Linked DNA regions of Lonchura striata. The protein of the gene in region 1 interacts with the protein of each later gene in a biochemical or structural test. Links are inferred from orthologs where the notes say so. Each region holds a gene or a part of one and is shown on either strand. Other genes may lie near its edges.

Region 1 (8,882 bases):
AAAAATGTGCCTTTTACAGTGATTTGCCAAGTACTTTTCCACCTGACCAGCAATGATTTGTATTCTGCATATTTCAGAGCTAAAAATAGCTTGCTGCTGTTATTTTTGTTTGGGAGAAATAACATTCAGTTTATGGAGTTCTTTCTCCATACAAAGTTCAGAGCATTGAGAAGTATATTCACAGAAAGAAACCTTTCTTTGTTTGAATTTCACAGTGAGGGAAGGCGTTCAGCATTTTTGTTAGTTTTCATATAAGCCCAGTTGCTTTCTTGGAAAATATGATTAAATTTCTTGTCTGTTTTTAGTAAAAGATGATGTAATTAAACCCAAAATCTAAATATGGCCTGAGTCTGGAGCCTGTATTCTCTTAGGTCTAATTTTTAGAAAGCATATTTTAGAAAATATTCAGAGACTTACAAATATACAGCCATTTGATGAAATTTTCCAAAGTACCCACAGGAGTAGATTCCCATTGCTTTCTAAAAAAGCTCTCCTCCACTGTCTCTGTTGCCCATCTTTCTTCCTGTACCTGGGTTAGTGCTTCCCTGTTGCATTCTTTCATGTTTGATGTAGGAAATTCAAACCAATAGGAAGTTAATCCTATGAAAAAAGGGATCATTCTCCTCCTCAGATGAGACTGAAGATGAACAATTGGGAATGCCTTTGGCAGCTGTTTGGTGTCAGACTGATTTACCTGTGCAGAGGAAACCACTCCCTAACAACCTTTTTGGACCAAAATAATTTTTAAAGTTTGTCTTTGGATCCCTGCATGGGAATGGAACTGCTTAGCCTCAGCTTTGTGAAAAGCACTGGCAACACTGGGCATGAAAAAGAAGTGTTACAATGACCTTGAAGGAACTGACACCACATGAAGAGCTGCAGGATGCAGCCCAATGCTCTGGGCACCCATGTCCTGCCCACACTGCCAGCAGGCATCTTACTCACAACAATCCAGGACGATGCCACTTGCTTGAAATCATTCTCTCCCTTGACAACCCATGAAATGTTAAGCAGAATACCTTGGTGGCTGGCTCAGAGTGGAAAATTTAGAAATGTTAGCGACTTCTGAGCAGTCTGAGCCAGTGATGGATCCTGTTTGCCTCTCTTCCTGCTTTTTAAGTCAGCCTCAGTAGAAAGCATCAGTGATCTTTTGTATTTCTATAATGTGCAACCCCTTTGACAGTATTTGCAAGGAGAACTGGCAGGGTACTGTGAATGTGTAGGTAATCACAGTCTCTGAACCCCTGCACATGCAGGGAAATGGAGTGCTCAGAGGTTCAGGCACAGACACTGAAGTGGTCGGGTGAGCAGTGTTCCTTTCAAGTCGCTCAGTATTGTGAAATGAAATAATGGGACTCCAGTAGCAAGGTGGATTCCTTTCAATGCCTTGTCCTGGGGAGAGTGAACAACAGAGGTATCTCTACACTGCTAAACAGAAGTCAACCAAGGATCATACCCAGCCACCTGTCCTCAGATCATCTGGACTCAGTTTTGTCACCCATAAGGACCTCTGTCCCAGAGACTTCTGCTTCAGAGATGCCTGACAGTGAGTGAGCAGCAGAGCTGCAGGCTGGCCAGCAGCACTCACACAGCTTCTGTCATTGAATAGTATGAGCCCAGTCTAGAAATCCCATCAGGACTGTATATTGTTTTGCAATTCTGCACCAGCTATCTGCAGCACAAACTTCTGATTTTTGCTTTGAAATTTTCAGCAGCAAAGTAATAGAGGAAAGGGTCGAGGCAGCTGTTCATGGCAGCGAGGCAGAGAGTGACCACCAGCGCCTTGTGCAGGCTGGCCTGGCTGCAGGTGCTGTACAGCAGGTGGACAGTGCGCAGGATATGGTATGGCAGGAAACAGATGAGGGAGAGGATGAGAGTGATGACAATGGTTAACAGTGCCTTCCTGTGACAGATTGCCCTCCTGCTCCGCTGAGCCCTGGACTTGAGCAGCGCTCTGATGGCAAAGACATAGCAGAACAAAATTGTGCAGAACGGCAGAATGAAGCCCACGACCAGGACAAAGCTGTTCATCATGAGGAGCCTGTGTGTGCTGGGGGGGTGGAGGTCCAAGCATTTGACTGGGTTGCTGTAGCCAGCGATTCCCTTGTTTAACAGAGGGCTGGCAGCTGCCAGCACAAAGATCCATATGGCTGCACAGGTAATCCTGGCATACTTCGTGTTGGTCACTTGTCCGTGTTTGAATGGGTGGACGATGGCTACAAAACGAACCACGCTGAGCACGGCGAGGAAATAAATGCTGCAGTACATATTCATGTACAAGGTGTAAGTCATGATCCTGCAGAGGATGTCACCAAATACCCAACGTGATCCCAAGAGGAAATATGAGGCCCGAAAGGGCAAAGTGCTCACAAACATGAGGTCTGAAATAGCCAAGTTCTGCATGTAAATGTTTACTGAGGTCCTTTGCGAAGTCTGGAAGAAAACATAAATGGAGAGGCTGTTTCCAACAGCACCCGGGAAGAAGATAAAGAGATACACGATGGGATAAATTACTTGTTTGAAACCGTCAATTGTACAGTTGGAAGAGCTGTTAGTGAAGCTGCCATCTACTGCCACCTTGGAAATGTTCATAGTCCGAGCCAGCGTCTCCATTTTTCTGCTAAAAGGAAAAGAAGTGGTGTGAATGCTGGGTTATAGGCTGGGCAGGGAGTTTGGCTATTTGGGACTGTTTTACTGAAGGCAGAAATTGCAAGATGCAGATGACAGTGGGAAGTAAGGGCTCGTTAATGAGTAATTACTTGTGATGTCCCAGTAAATACACATCTCAAGACACAAAGCCCCAAGTAAGCTCTAATGAGTTTCAGTACTACAGCAGCTGGTTCTGTTCTCAGCCTGTAAAAGTGCTGCTTTTAGACGTTCTGTGTGTGTGTTTTAATGACAAGTCTCTGATCTTTGCTGTGCAAAACAAGCCAGCTTGCTGTCAGCCATTTTGTGGCAGGGAAGTTTTGAGTCCCTAGTCACCTACCATGGAAACATCAAAACCTGATCAGAAAAGAAATCACTGTCAACTGCTAGGCCTGCATTTCAAATAAGGAATGAAACCAAAAGAACTGAATCTGCCTTTTGGAACCAGGAAATTTTTTCTGGTATGTTTTTGGTAGTATTTCCTGAGCAATACCACATGTATTTTGATACATGTAAAAATTAAGGACATTTTGACCTTAAACACTTTGCAAACACTGTGCTAATTATGCACAATTCATTTTTTAACTTCCTCCTCCATGCAGTGTATTTCTTCTTGTTAGCTTCTGGTGGCTTTCTATGTCTCTTTTCTTGGAGCCTTTGCTCCACGTACCACTCTCTTAACCTTTTTTGTGCTCAGCCTTTCTGCACCAGTCATCCACACACACTGCAGCTTCCAGGGCAGCCTACATTTGCAGCCCTAATGAAAATAGCCTCTGAGAAAATGGGCCGTGCTCACAGAGAGAGGCATTTTTCCTCTGTGAGACTATGACTCAATCAAATAAAATCAAAACTGCCCACCACTAATACACTCTAAATAATAATATTTTTCTGTCATTAATGTGTATTTTCTGAACTCTTGATTTTTTATCTCAGCTGTCCTGCAGCTAGTAGTATTTTCAAAGGAAGGTGTCAGTATTGTTTCTTGTTGGACAGTGGGAGCAATTCCCTCTTTATTATACCAATATATTCTAAAGATGGGGCATGGAAATTTTTAGCCTGAAAACCACAACTACATGGCATTTTCAGATGCATGGAAAAGAAGCTTTTAATTTGCCCCAGTGAGAGTGATAATGTGCCCATGGCACACAACTGCATCCTATCTCTTATTCTGAACCTCACTAGCTTCACAATTTGAAACTAATTTATTTGTACAGGTGAAGCCTCCTTAGGGGTAAATTTGGCTTTACATTTGGGTACTTCAAACACCCAGCTACCCAGTGTGCTGTAAATGGGAGTTAATTTGCAAACTGAAGCCATGATGTGGAAGCCTGAGCTATGTTCAGAGCAGGCCATTGTATCTCCAGGGCTGTGTCTCAGAGTCTGTCCCAGTCTCTTGAATATAGCAAACAGATGTGCCCCAGCAGGCTTCTTTCTATCCAGCCCCACTGGGATGGGGAGCATGGGAAGCACAACCCCAGGCTGGGCTCCCAAAGAGTACTTCATGGATATTGGGTCTCAGCAAAGCCCTGGACTGACTAAACACATGTTCCTAAAGTTCATCTCCTCCTCATTTGCGATCCTCTTTCTTCACGAAGAAGATGGAAAATATATTCTTCTTCAAGACAAATCTTTAACAATCAAAGGATTCTAATTAAATCAAAATTTAATTGTTTTGGTTTTCTTTATGGAATAACTGTCTGATATACACACTTTCTGTATGAAATCAAAGACCAGCTTTTCTCCAAAATGAGTATGATCCCCCCATTTTTCAGGGAAACATTACAGCCTGAGGTTCAGTGAAGGGAAGAGCCCTTCTGATTCTGTTTTCCTGTGGTCCAAGCATCCTTGCCTTTAGAAACCCCAAACACAAAAGAAATATTAGTAAAGGGATCTGCTACCTGTCAAAGCATTCTTGTGTGTGAAAGCCGTGAGGTAGAGGAGTCAAATGAGGTTGAAGAACTTGGACTGTGGACAAATTTCACACCCTGCACAGTAGTATGAGTGATTGCTTGTGTCCAGTGCTGTCTGATGAAGGATGAGACTGGGACAATGAATATTCAGTTGATGAAAAGCCCTTGGGTCCCTGCATCCTGGGAAGAGCACTACACGCACAGGGCCTGAGGCACTTAGCTAAGGCTCCTCATATTGAGGGTATCTAGCCAACAACTGCCATTTAAGATGTTTTTAACTCTAACTGCACAAATGTTCCTCAATTCTCTTTCCAGCTAGACCAAGACTAAGAGTAGAATAGTGCATGTGCAATTGAGAAAATTCAGCATCCTTCACCCTAGCAAGAAAATCAGTCCTCAGACTCCTCTCGAAGTTATTCCAACACCTAAATTTCAAGCTGTTATGGGATGTCCAAGAGAAAGAAATTGTAGACCAGTCAACTGAAAGCTCCTAAAGCACCATGGTTCCTGCACTCAGTACAGGGCCAACAATGACCCATGCACTTTTCATTGTAGATGCTCCTGTTAGCTATGTCTTGACACACAGATCAATGTGGAAGGGAAGGTGAAGTGAAAGATATATTTCACTTGGGACTACCTCAACCAACCACAGAGGATAAGGGGAGAATTTTATCCTTCCTTGAATCCAAGAACTGTTATTATCCAGCAAAGGTTAGGAGATGGCTACTTGATATACAGAATGAATGATCTATCTGAGGACAGACCATAAACTTCATTTTCAGAAAAAGTGTCCAGATGGTCTCCTGGGTCATGAATGAACATGATGGGTTAAGAGTGAGAGACTGGACCTATAGGAATTTTCTGTGTCTCCCAAAAGAAGGGAAATTTGCAGTAAGATCTAACAGCCCTCAAAAAAAAAAAAAAAAAAAAAAAAAAGGAGAGAAAAAGACAAACTGAAATGGGATTCTCTCTTCAGTGATACTGCAAGACTCCTCTTATAGAAAATTTTGTAACAGGAGATTTTTTCTATATATGAGTTTCACTGATGGAAGCTATCAAATGGAAGCAGCTGACACATGTCCTGAGGCTCTGACAATCTCCCTGGCATGAGAAAGAGAAAATCAGCTGAGAAAGAAAAAGGGAGCCTTTTCTGAAATAACTGCTGCATGAGTAGATTAGATGTAGAGTTTGGGTGGGTTTTTTATCTTTTCTTCATCTCTGTGAAATCTTTTAAAAATATTTACATCTTGATTAGCAAGGATTTTATAAAGAAATATTTATCTTTCATTACAAACACATCTATATTATAAATTAAACATATTTGTTATGAATATATATTTTTCCTTTTATCTTAGTGCAATTCTAGGTAAGATGATAGCAGAAAGACATTCCTCACCTAAGGCGAATTTTACATCCTTAACAAATGGATGAGTGTGCAAGACGGGTGGGGGGCTGATAGAGCAAAAGTAAGAGGAGATTTATTTAATTGAAGGATATACTAAACTAATAAAAATGCCTCAAACCTCTCATATTTTAAGCCCAGGATCCAACTACCCACAAATCCAATAGACTGGAACATGCTATCTTGAACATCTGATCAAAAACAAATCTCACATGTAATTCTGCACTGATCTCAAACCTGAAAAAGAGACAGAGCATCCATCAGGCTTGGCATGAGACCAAAACCCTGGTGCAAAGGAAAGCTCAGAGACCTGCAGGAGAAAGGATAATCAATAGAAGCTTGTGTTGCCATGCTACCAGCTTTATGGTAATGATGCTGTAGGATGCTCAGGTGGAGGAGTGGCACTGTGCAGGAGGGACTACATAACTCACAACACTGTAAAAATATTGTGGCTAAAGGGAAGCACAACAGTGTTCTTGTAGGCAGATTCTAATAATACAAATATGCTACTAGGAATGCACTACCGAGCTCCTTACTACCTTATGACAGTTGCCAGAGCACATTAAGTAAGGGTAAGAAGATAGAAAGCAGGTAGCAATGGAAGGAGGTTTGGAGCGTTGTTATAAAGATGCAATGCTGCAACAGGATGAGATGTTATGTCCATAAGCAATGACTTCCTGATTCCTAGAATAATTAGACCTGAAAATAAAAATCCACAACACAAGATGACATTCTACCTTGGTATTCTACCTCTACAAGATGCCATCTGATCTTTAGTGCTGCACAGGTTTTGGTGGAGGTAGGTCTGTACTGTTAATCACAGTACAGCTGGGCTCAGCAGCACCGTGGGACAGAGAAGCAGTCCCAGAAGGAAGAAGCCTACATAAATTTGGGGGCTGTGAAAACAAACAGGAAATTCAACAAGCCTACATTCCAAAAGAAATAGGCATTTTAGGAAATATTGAGTCAAATGTCTATCAGTAAAATAGTTACCAAGACTACTCAAAGGAAAAGATCTCCATTTGGAAAACAGAAGTCTTGTCAATATGGGGAGAACAGGAAAGTCTGCATCATGACAGATCAAATGTGGAGAGGAAACAAGGAGCATTAAAGAAAAAAAAATAGTGAAGGGCTTCTGGTAAAGGATGTTCTGTGTTGACAGTAAGTTTTGTAAACCTACTGAAAGATGAAAAAAACACTTGGGAACTAGCAGGGGAGTTTGGTGGCAAAAGATCTCTTAGAAACTAAGTCATAGCAGGAATACTCAGGGAATTCACTCTTCCCAACCAACGATGTTGGGATATTTTCAGGGCTGGTGCAGTAAAAAGAACAGAGGAGCCAGCTCCACTCAAGAGATGTGGGCAGGAAGTATTAAACCAACTAGATAAGTGAGAGTCCAAAAAGTAATTGAGACCAGATGGCACTCATATCAGTATCCCAAAGGATCTCAACTGTGAGACTGCCAGCCAAGGCACGTAACCCACCATTGCAATCAGGCACTGTGCCAGGGGACTGATGTGTCATCAGTGCAGCTCTCATTTACCAGAAAGGCTTGATAAGGCTGCTCAAAGCTCGTCATCAGTCCTAGGAGCTACTGACCACTAGGACCGATTTCCGCCTCTGGGACATTTTGGGGGCATCTGTAATGAAGAATGAAGGCACTGAGCTCATTGCAATGCCAGTCTGCTGAGAAAAAGTCATTATGTTTTCTGAAAAGGGAGATCCTGTTTGGCTTACCCACTGCAGGGCTGTGATGACAATGGATGAAGGAGACCCAGTGGTCGTTTGATATATATATACATATATATACACACACACACACACACACACATATATATATACACACACATATATATATATATATATATATCTAGCCAAGGCAGATTTTCTTCTCTACTTCACTCTTGTGAGACCCCACCTGAGCACTGCATTCAGCTCTGAAACCTTGACATAAGAACATCATGGAGATGGCCCAGGGCAGAACCATGCAAATGGCTAGAGGGCTGGAGCACATCTTCTGTGAAGACAGGATGAGAGAGATGGGGCTGTTCATCCTGGAGAAGAGAAGACCCCAGAGAGAACTTAAAGCATGTTCCAGTACATGAAGGGGCCCTACACCAGAGTTTCAGAGAGATTTTTCACAAGGGCATGTGGCAATAGGACAAAGGGGAATGGAATCCCTGGCAGAGTTCAAGGCCAAGTTGGATGGGATTTAAGCAAGCTGGTCTAGTGGAAGGTGTCCCTACCCATGGCAGGAGGCTTCAAATGAGATGATCTCTAAAATCCCTTCCCACTCAAACCATTCTATGATTCTGTGATACCTGTGTATTTAGAATTGCATTTGTCAAAGCCTTCGACATAGCTCTGCAACAAAGTACCTTTCTTAAGTTTCTTAAGTATCAAAGTTGCCAGACAGCTGGAAGGCACATTCATTTGTGGGCTGAAAGCCTGGCTGAAGTGTAGGAAGCAAAGTGGGAGCTCAATAAATAAGCAATGGAGTCCTCTAGGGTTTGGCACTCAGATTAGATTTATCCAGTGTCTCTATCAACAGTCTGGAAATGACAATTCTCCATGCTAGCAGATACCATGTTGATAGGGTGTCAGATGAGAATTAGTATATTTGAATGTAAGGTGATGCATACTGTGGAAAAGTGGAAAAACAATCTAAATTGTGCCTAATTACATGAATTTTAAACTGGCTGTTGCATTCAGGAAAGGGCACTTGGCACTGGCATCATTGACCATTTGCTGAAGTCAGTTCTGCATTGGCTACAACAGCAGAAGAACCAAAATTGTCAGCAAAAGGAGGAGTACCATCCAGTAGGGTATCACCTTGTATAAAATATTGATGCATTCCCATAGTGGACAGTGCTTGTCTCTACACTGAAAACAGAAATTATGGAGCTCGAGAACATGCAGAGAAA
Region 2 (10,060 bases), on another chromosome or scaffold:
CTGTGCTCCAGTGGGTACAGACCGTGGACACAAAGCAGCCCAGTGTGTGCCAGCTGTGTGCAGCCACAGCGAGCACACAGCCAGACAATGTCCATGCTGGGACAGAGACATTCACAAACCTACACTCCAAGGGGAAGCAGGGGGAGGCAGTCAAGGGGGGGGGGGGGGGCGGAAATAATTAGTGCAAATTCCTAGTTTAGGTAAACACATCTAGAGAAAGGCTCGCTCTGGCACAGGGAATTAATATCCTGTTAAACCAGTTGAAGAGGTCACCAGTAAACAAGCGGCACTCCCAACACTCCTTCGTGCCAGGGCTGATAGGACACCAAGACAAGTGGCTGAGAGCAGGGAGCTGGGGACGCTGCAGCATCTGCCTGCCGGTGTGCAGCTGCAGCCAGCTTGTGTTCTCTGCAGCCACAGTCTCACCACAGCACTTCTGCACTAACAGCAACAGCCCTGGGCTTTGGGAAAGCTGTCTCACTGCCTTCACATAGCCCCAGGGAGGACTGGCCAGCACACAAAAGCAGCCAGGGGTGTTGGGCTAATGTCAGGTTGGTCAAGGTCACAGCCCTGCTTGGGATCCCTGCCTCCGGCTGGAGATAATTTAGAGAGTGGATTGTATAAATTAAGAGATAAGAAAGGAGATGTACACTGGCTCCTTCAGTATGGGGGCCTACCTGCTCCAGGGAGTCCACCCTTGGCACATGCCTGTGCTGCTGCTGGTATAGACATTCCAGCACAAAGACTTTAAAAGGACATGTTGGGAACTGAAGGTCTCCAGATGATGCTCCAGCAGCAAAAGAGAAAAAAAGGACAGAATAAAATTGCTCAGGACACAGCATTCAACTTCATCCTCAATGGAAAGCCTGAAGCACAGAGGAGCTGCTGGCAACTCACCTCTGCAGGCACAGAAGTGGAACTCAGGCTGCAGAGGTGTGAAGAAAAGGTAAGAGCCTCAAGAGAGCAGCAAGGGGAAGCACCAGGGCTGGGACAGCCTTGGGTCAAAATGCACTGAGAGTGAGCCACAGACCACATGTGGAGCTCTGCACCTTGGGGCCTGGGTCTTCTTCTAAGAGTGCAGAGCCTCTGGGATGCTTTCCCTTCCCACCAGGGAAACTCAGCTTCTTTCCCAGGAGATCCAGGAACAGAAACCACCAAGGCTGCATGTTTCCCACGGCCCACAGTGAACAGAACTTAAGAATAGCAAGATAGCTGTGTGTCTTGCACAGAGAAGCTGCGTAGTCCTGAAAGACTTCAGCTGCATTAGTCTCAGTCCTCATGGAGAACTTTATACAGTGCTCAAAATGCCATTTTCTGGTGTCCAGCCCCAAGATAAGCCTTGCTCTTAAGTCTTGTGTGAAATGGAACTGCTGGAACAGTGTGTTTCTCGTAAGTGTTGGTGGGTCTAAACACAAGAAAGGACAGAATTCCCCAAAAGAGCTTGGGTACCTGTGGGTTCTCTCTTAAAGACAGAAAAATTTCGTTTTCCTTCCTGGACACACCTGGGCTGCACTGCAGGGAGAGTGCTTGCAGCAGGGCAGGATCCCTTAGCAGGTGCTGGATAGATCAGGCATGGCCTGATCAAGAAGGTGTTACCCCTTGCCCTCAATCAGACTGAGGAATGCTGTTCTCTACAAACACCCAGTGATCACAGCCCTGGTATCTCCTGCCTAAGCCCTGGAGGGGAAAGACAGCCCAGCTCCCTGGCATTACACGCCATGTGTTTCCACAGAATGCACTGGTCAGTGCCAGGCACCGGCATGGGATCAGGCTCCCGGGAAACCCCACTAAACACAAGGTTGCAAGGACTGCAAGGGACTGCAAGGCAGGGGCTTACCCAGCAGAGCCTGGAAGAGTTCACTTTGGAAGATGTGCGAAACTTTTCCAATGGAAGCTTTTAACTCCTGCTCCTCCGGGGACTGCAGGGTGCTTTGGTATCTGGTCAGAATTTCCACTGCCCGTTCAGTGTCTGCAGAGATGACACAGGAGTAACAAGGCATTAACATTGCAGGATGCTAAGGGAAGGCTTGAGTGCAGCCTGGGATTATGCCTCAAGCTGCCTTCCAGTCTGGATTTTTAGAAGTCCGACAGCCACAAAAGCAGACTTCCTTACACACACCTGGGAAAGCTAACCCTGCTGAGAGCCATTGAGGGCTGCCTGCAGAGACCTGAGCAGGGACTGAAGGAAAAGTTAGTTCTGCCACCAACCCTGAAAATCAGGGGCTAAAATCAGATTGACTCAACTCTGAACCTTGTGACACTGGGCAGCCTGAACACCTCTGCCACCTCCCAGACAAGGAATCTGTTCAGGAGCTGGACACATTCTGGTTGCACAGGGCTATGAATACTACTGCAGGAACTGCAGCCTCCCACACAGGGCCAGATGGCTGCAGCAAAACTGAGCATAGGCCCATTCACAGTGCAAACAGCTCAGCTACAGGAGTGGCAAAACTTGGGTTTCTACAGGGTGAAGCATAAGAATTGCTCAAAGCAGAAAGCAGCTGTGGGTCAGCAGGAGACAAATGGGAAAGGAATACAATGCCTTGCGGTCAGAGGAGATGCTGGTGAGGAGGAGAACTGGAAGCTGCCATGAAGCAACATTTTGGTTAATGACAGCTATCAGAAAACCCTGGACCTAAAATAGTGCAGCTGTGATCTCCCCACCTGGACACCTCCACACTTCTCTGGGCAGACAGCCAGTGCAGCCTCGACCTCAGATGTGACCCATACCTCAGGCAGGTAGTGAGCTCCTGTGGACCTTCAGACTATCCCTGTCCCATCAGTGATTACTTAATTCACTTTGTCACCCAGGCAGACTGCAGACAAAGAGTGTCTGTGTGAGAAGGCAGGGAAGCTGTCCCGCCACTGCTGGAGACTCATCTTTGAAGCCAGGAACTCATGCAGAAAGGATGACCCTGCTCATTAGAGGGCTCTTGAGAATTCAGGTCATCAAACAAGGGGGCCTGTGTCTGCTTGGGTATGTTCCACCCGGTATCCCAACTCACCCAGCCTTCTAGCTTCTCCTCGGCTGAAAAGAAAAGGGGGTCCTACTGCTGGTGTCACCAGCCCACACTGACTCATCGTGGGACCTGAACCAGGGAAAGGAGTCTGGGGAAGCATGAACAGCTCTGACTTGGAGCTGGGCTCCACACTTACTCCAGGAAAAGCATGGACTTCCTTGATGGCTTTACGGCAATCCTAGACTTGTGCTATTACTAAGAGCTTCCTTTTCTGCATGGTGAAACAGTGGCTTCAAACACTGCCTAGCATACCATGAGCAGGGCTGAGATATCACTGCCTGGTCATTCCTGACCTTATCAGCAGAACTAAAGAAGCAGATGGAGAGCTGGGGGCCACCACACCAGGACACAAAGACTGCGAACCTGGTAAACTTTCCACTGTGCAGCAAGAGTGGCAGGCACCGCGCTGACCTCTGTGCTGCTGGCCACCCGCACCCGGTGACAGCCAGCCGGAGCAGGGGACTGCGGGCTCCCGATCTGGGGAAGTGCTGCGCACCCAGCGTGGCAGGGAGACCGCAGGACCGTTCCTACAGCTCCCAAGAAATAGCACACGGTGTCCAGGGCCCATGTCCACGTGCCTCAAGGTGCACGCAAGTCCCACGTACAGAAAATCCCTTCTCGCAGAACCTAAACCCCCATGGCCGCTCTCCTCCCCGCAGCACGCAAGGGATCTGCAAGCAGAGCATCTCGCGGCCACCCACTCTGAGACACGGCAGCACAACGTGTCCACAGGCCGAGGAGGGCGTGGAGCGAGAGCGCCCAGTCGTCGGATCTTAACTCCCGGGTCGCACGGCCGCCCGTGGTGCGGAGCGAGGGCGGGAGCTGCCAGGCAGGAGCGCGGAGCAGCGGGCGCGGTCCCAGCGGGGCAGACACTTGTTGAGCGCGGGGCCGCGGTGCCCCGGCGCGGCGGGCAGGGCCGGGGAGTGCGTTCCTTACCTTCCCGGCGGATCATCGCTCCGCCGTGGCCGACGGCCGCTCCGCTCCGTGCCAGCCCGCGAGCGGCCGAGCCGCCGCGCCCCGCCCGGGAGCCGCCCCCCGGCCGCAGGCACCGCCTCCGGGAGCGCCCCGCCACCGCCGCCCTGCCCCGCGGCTCCGCTCGGAGCCCGCCGGGCTGCGGGCGGGCTCAGCCTGCGCCCCGCGAGCCGCGCCCGGCTCCGCCTCGCCTCCCTGCCCGCTGCGGAGGGCCCGGCCGCCCGCCCGGCTCCCCGCCGGCAGTAGGTGGCACGGAGGCGCCGCGGAGCGAGCCCGCCTCGGGCCGGTACCGTCCGGGCTGCGCCGGCTCCTTCTCCGGGCCGGCAGCGCCGCCGGCAGGGAAAGGTGCGGAAGGGAGGACGCAGGCGTGCCCGCCGCACCCCTTCAGGATCGGTCTGCCGCTCCTCTGCTTTATTGACATAAATAGACAGCAGCAAGTCAAACCGATACGATACCCATCTCCCTGCTCAAGGCCCTGCTGCAACGTGAGCAGCAGCAGGAGCGTGAGCACGGTCCTGCCAGCTCCTGACACCCACCACCCCCAGCCCCGATCCTTTTGTTTCCCGAGCAACAGGCATTAACTGCTGCATGGAGTGCCAGGACCCTGTCCTGTGAAGATGAAGGCAGCAGCAGTAGGGAAAGGATTTTATGTCCAGGATGAGAGGGTGAAGAGCTCGGCATTCCCTTTGTCTTTTGAAAAGCCACTACACATCCACATCCACCCTATTCCCTTTCTATTCCTCAAGCCATGGGATAGGGCAGCCCCTAGGGGAACAGTCCTTAAGCCAGGTGTCTCATCCCTGGCTGCAGAGCTGCTGACAACAGGCAGAGACAGCCCTTCCCCTCCACCAAAGAGTGACCCAAATCCCCGCTCCTGTCCAAACCTCATGGGAGAGGTCTCAGCTCCAGTACTGCTGGATAAATATTCTTCCCCTAGGCCACCCCTGCAAAGCTTTAGTTCCTTGCTGCTAGCTTGGCAATGAAAACTCAGTTCCAAGTCTTTTCAGATGAGGGCGGCTGTGCACCATGAAAGGAACCACGAACACCACGGTAGAAGTGAGGCTCGAAGGAAAGGAGCCTTGCAGTGGCCTGAGGAGTGCTCCCCGCTTGAGCTGTGCAGGGCTCTGGCTGCCTTTCCCCACAGCTGACACAGGCGTTACTCTTGCATCAAGCTGTTGATCTTTGTGAGCAGCACATCTGTCTCAGACTCTGAGGAGACAGAAAAAAACAGTCATTGTGGGCAGCCACCATCCCACATCGACAGGCAAAGTAGCCTAAAAAGCAGGTTTGAGGATATTCGGGAAATGTGGGATTCCCTAGTGCTGTCCCACAGGGCTACTTGTTAATGGCAGGACAGGAGAAACTCCCTGAGCTGGGATTCCCTTCCCTCCCCCAGCCATGCCAAACCATTCCATCACGTTTGGCTGGAGAAAGCTGCCTGCCTGTCAGGGAGAGTCCCACAGGCAGAGCCTGGCTCCAAGGGAGGGAAGCTCCCCTTCCGTGTGCACTCACCCGCTGGCCGTCTTCTGTGGGAACATTTCCTAGGAGACGGAATAGGATCGATGTTAGCATGCAAGTCTGGTCTCACCATTCCCTCCCCTGAGCTGCCAGCTGGAGGCTGTGAGGCCCCTCAGTCCCAGAGGGAACTGCTCTCAGTGCCTGCAGCACTGGAAAAAAGGAGCAGGACCAGGATCTCCCAGCTTCAACCCACCAAGCCCTGGGGTGCAGAGTGGGCTAGCAAGTGTGAACTAAGGCATCCAGCAACCTGAGGCAGGGTCAGGGCAGACTTTTAGCTGCAGCTTGGAGATAAAAGCTACCCCCACACTCTTCTGTTTTACTTAGCCAGACACAAGAGGACACCCCCAGTATCTGAATCCAGAGAGGAGTGGCAGCAGTTTTGGGTCTGCATCAGCCACCCAGGGCACACTGCAACCTCCCCCAACAGACCTGCCTCAAGAGGGGAAAGGGATCAGACCTACTTCATCAAGAAAAAAGCCCAGATGATGATAAGGAAGGAAACGCAGTCTACAACGATCCAGATCATGAAGTACGTGCTGCTGGGCTGCAAGGCAATGAGACGAGCCACTGAACGCCAGCTGGGGTGCTGTGCTGTGGCACAGCCCTGCCTGCTGTGCCACCAGTTCCTTCTACAGGGTCGCATGCTCCCATGCCAGCAGTGAGCAGAAGTCACCCTCCAGGCAGCTGCACAGGGCTGCTGCAGAAAGGGACCCACAAGTGTCTAGGACACAGGGCTGTGGGCAGGGTGAAGGATGGAGGGGTCACTTACCAGAAGCCAGATGGGGTGTTTCATCTCCTTCAGCACCTGGCAGGCGTTGGTGGTGACAGAGCTCACCCCTGAACACCAAAGCACGGAGAAGAGCCAGGGCTGGTTCACCACATATAAGTTGACAGAGATGTTCTCCTGGCGGTACTGCCTGCATGGGGACAGCCGTGATCAGAATAGCAGACAGCAGGGCACCACCACACTCTGCACAGCCAGAGGGGGCTGTACATTTGGGATATGATCCAGCATTTGCAGCCACATGGAACAACTATCTGGAGATCCAGACTGAGGGCAGATTTGCTGGCAGGGTCTGAGGACTGCAGCCAGCTGCATCCTCTGCGACAGCCCTGGCTGATAGGGACACTTGTTCACAAGGCACACTCCCAGCTGTTCCCAGAAGCACACCAGTACTCAGTACCCTCACCTCTGCTGCCCCCTGGGACAGTCCTGAGACCCTCACAGCTCCCAGGCACTTGGACAAAGCGTTTTCACCTGATCTCCTCAGAGCTCATGTCCTGGTAGGGAAGATTGATGCGCAGTACTGCCTCCTTCTCATTCTCAGACCTCTTCCGACCGTAGACATGCTGGACACCTGGGGCCTGCTGTTTGACATCTTCCCTGAACCCATCTGGAAGCCAGAGGACCTAGGCGAGAGCCAGAGAGCATGTGCAGAGGAGAGCTGCTCCAGAGAGTGGGCTCTCTTCCAATATTCCCTCACAGGTCCAGGCCCACATGGCCTGCTTAGACAGCTGCTTCCTGCCCCCGGTCTCCACACTCAGCTCTTCCATGAGGATCTCAGCCAGGACAGTCTCCTAAGAGCTTGCCCCAGCCAGGAAGTAAGCAGAGGTCCCACTGAAGGGGGAAAGCAATTCTAGCTTAGGAAATCTGCAACAGTTAAGTCCTCTTTGGGTCCTTGAATGGCTCAAGAAGTGAATTCATTTATCCCCAGCTCTGCAGCAAGAATGCACCTTGGATCACCACTATATAAGTAGTCATTTTTATGTCTCCTCCTGCTCTGCATTCCCAAAAGGCCAAGAAACGTGATTTGAGTGCTGATTTGTCCCCTGAGGCAGCAGATATCCTGTGCTGCAGGGGTTGGATGAAGCATAAAGGAACACAGGAGAGTTCAGCAGGAGTCCAAGAGCTGCAGGGAGAGGTGTGGTGGAGTGTGGGGAGGTGAAAGCTTCAGCATTGTATTCCTGCTCATGCTGGCAGTGCTGGTCTCCTCCCTCGCCTGAGTCATTGCTTACACACCAGGCTGGCCAGTGCTGGGAAACCAAAGTATTTGGAGGGGTCTGAAGTATTTTGAGGGGTCTGAAGCCATAGGCATTAAACCCTAATTATTGGCAACTTCTCCCAGCTAGAAAACCCCACACCTGGGCAGGGCTGCCCAGCAGGGATCACGTATGGGGACAGGGTGTATGGGGTGTCAGGGATGGTCAGTGTGGCTGGCAGGGCACCTCCCACCACAGCAGGGGTGTGACAGCAAGGCCTGGCAGGGGTGGGGTGGTGACCAGCTCACCTGCTGCAGCGGGATGCCTGACTGTAAAATCACTCCTAGGGTGACATTGACAAAGTTCTGGTAGTCACTGTGGTTCTCAGGCCGAAGGTCAAACATGATGGAGATGTTGCTCTGCTTGGCTGCCTCTAGAGCCTGTTCCAGGGATGGGATCCTCTGTTCAGCTGCCTCCTTGCGATCTCCAGGAGAAAGACTCTGCACAGTGGGAAATGGCCTCCGCTGCAAGGGTGAGATGGGGGCAGTCATCGCAGGCAGACCACCTGTCAGCTTCCACATCCCAAACTGGTGCCTGGGGGACTCCCAGTCTCTGATTCTCAGTTTCCAACACTGGCCTCTCCACTTGCTCTCCAGTGCAGACGGGCACAGAGAACCTCCCTAAGCACATCCATGGACCTGCACCCTTCTCCCCACTAACAGCAGAATTCAAGCAGCCCCAACACCTGTGGGCATTCAAAGCTGCTCAGCAGTAGTTAGTCATCTTTTGGGAAGAGTCTGGCCACAGCTGCCTTCAAGCCCAGGCAGGTTGTGCTCAGAGCAAATATGAGACATCCCCTCTCAAAGCAGCCTCCTCCATGACTCAGCTGAGGAGTCAGAACAAACTGCAGCTTGGGGCATAACTGCACCCAAGGGATTTGTGCAGGCTTCTGGACCCTGTCCATGTGTCTGCTAGGACCAGGAAAGATGCTGGAGTCCCAGGGCAGGGCTAATGCTTCACCCAAAAAACCAACCACCCTAAGGACATTCCTGACCTCCAGAAACCAGCTGCCAGCATCTAGCCGCTGGAGGTCTGTCCAGTTGAAGGCAGTGCTGTTCAGGGCAGCCCTCTCAGGAAACACAGCCTGCACATTGGTGGTCCTGGTGAGTTCCTCGTCATGCATGAGGAATGGGACCCCATCAGCACTGGCAAAAGAACACAGAGGAAAGCCATATGTTGTAAGTTGTTTGTCTCCTATCCCTGCCTTAGCATTTCTACCCCCTCCCAGCCACCTGCCAGAGTAACCCTCATCCTTATTCTGCTTGTGGCCCTTTACACAAAAATGTGCACCTAAAGATCAAGCCACCAACCAAGTATTTCCTTGCTCTCGGAAACACCTGTTCAAATAACAGGATTACATGAGATGAACTGGAGCCAGGGTCTGTTTTCCAAGCAGTACCCCTTCCCTGAATGGAGCCTCCCTTCCCAAAAGGCAATCTGCATGGGGAGGACAGAAACCCAGTACCTCTCCCAGATCACTGGGACACCAAGCTGTCCATACTGGGAAGGTGGGAGTGGCAGAGCCCTTTGAACAGGGCTGTCTCCAAATGCAGGCTCTATCAGTCCTCCAGGTGTCTTCCAGAATGCCCCCTGTGGGAGGTGACATCCCAAGAGACACAGATCCCCTTCCTCCCTCTGAGCCCCTTTACCTCACCATGACGTCTGTCTCAAAGACTTGCACATCACAGTCCACTGCCTTGTGCAGTGACATGAGGGTGTTCTCAGGAGCCAGCTGGAAAAAGGAATGGTGTTAGTGCAGAGAGCGTGGGCAGGATGGGGCAGGGGGCACTCATCCTGCCTGGATGCACCAGCAGCTTGGCCTGGTTCTAGGGCAACCACAATGAGCCTGGTGTGACCTGGACGTGGTGGGGGGTGGAAAAGGACTGGGGATAGACAGCCAGAGCCTGCTCATCCCTGCTCCCCAGCCCACACTACACAGCCAGGCCTTCTGCTGGGAGTCACATGCTCCTGGTCCAGCAGTGCTTAGGAAGAAGCTTTGTCCTGCAGCTGCTGCATCCCCTCCTCACCACACAGCCTCTTGAGCTGCCCTGGCTGCTGTGGGGATACCACTGTTCTGGGCTGGCCAGAGCTTGTCCAGGCCTGTGGCCACAAGGATCTGGCTTTTCCTAGTGGAGCAGCCTGCTCTCTCCACCTTGAGCACTGCCAGGGTGTTGGTCACTCACCATGGGTGCTCCTCGATGGCCAACTAGGGCTGGCTTGGGGGGCAGCTGGTTCTCCTCCATGATGCAAGGGGAGGCAATTCCCAAGGGAGCCAGGTATAGTGCAATCATCGCTGCACCGTATACAAGCAGCACAAACACCCTGAGACCTGCAGGCACAGACAGAAGTTAGAAGGAATGAGGTACAGAGGAAGTATTTTGCAGGTCACTAGGAATAAACCAAGGCTACTTCACCTGGCATTAACCTGTCATTGCCCTAGGTCAAACATTGCACCTTCAGCCTCAGGAACTGCGGATTTATTCTTGTCCTGCTACATGCCCTTGCCTAAC

Evidence for each region.
Region 2: the proteins of CYSLTR2 (region 1) and DLG3 interact in a test that uses a peptide from one of them, tested with the Homo sapiens proteins (2 studies listed by IntAct, with this or other methods). The link is inferred for Lonchura striata from reciprocal best matches to the Homo sapiens genes CYSLTR2 and DLG3.

The regions. Positions count from the first base shown.
Region 1 is NC_134604.1:62,133,711-62,142,592, reverse strand, and holds CYSLTR2 (cysteinyl leukotriene receptor 2), read right to left. Parts: upstream 2,670-8,882; 5' UTR 2,614-2,669; coding exon 1,669-2,613; 3' UTR 1,571-1,668; downstream 1-1,570. UniProt on the Homo sapiens protein: Receptor for cysteinyl leukotrienes. The response is mediated via a G-protein that activates a phosphatidylinositol-calcium second messenger system.
Region 2 is NC_134616.1:19,278,792-19,288,851, forward strand, and holds the start of DLG3 (disks large homolog 3), read right to left. Parts: upstream 4,049-10,060; 5' UTR 3,973-4,048; coding exon 3,957-3,972; intron 1,970-3,956; coding exon 1,838-1,969; intron 1-1,837. Other genes in the region: glycerophosphoinositol inositolphosphodiesterase GDPD2, read right to left, coding at 5,149-5,201, 5,505-5,533, 5,972-6,054, 6,280-6,427, 6,769-6,920, 7,799-8,014, 8,545-8,695, 9,200-9,282 and 1 more. UniProt on the Homo sapiens protein: Required for learning most likely through its role in synaptic plasticity following NMDA receptor signaling.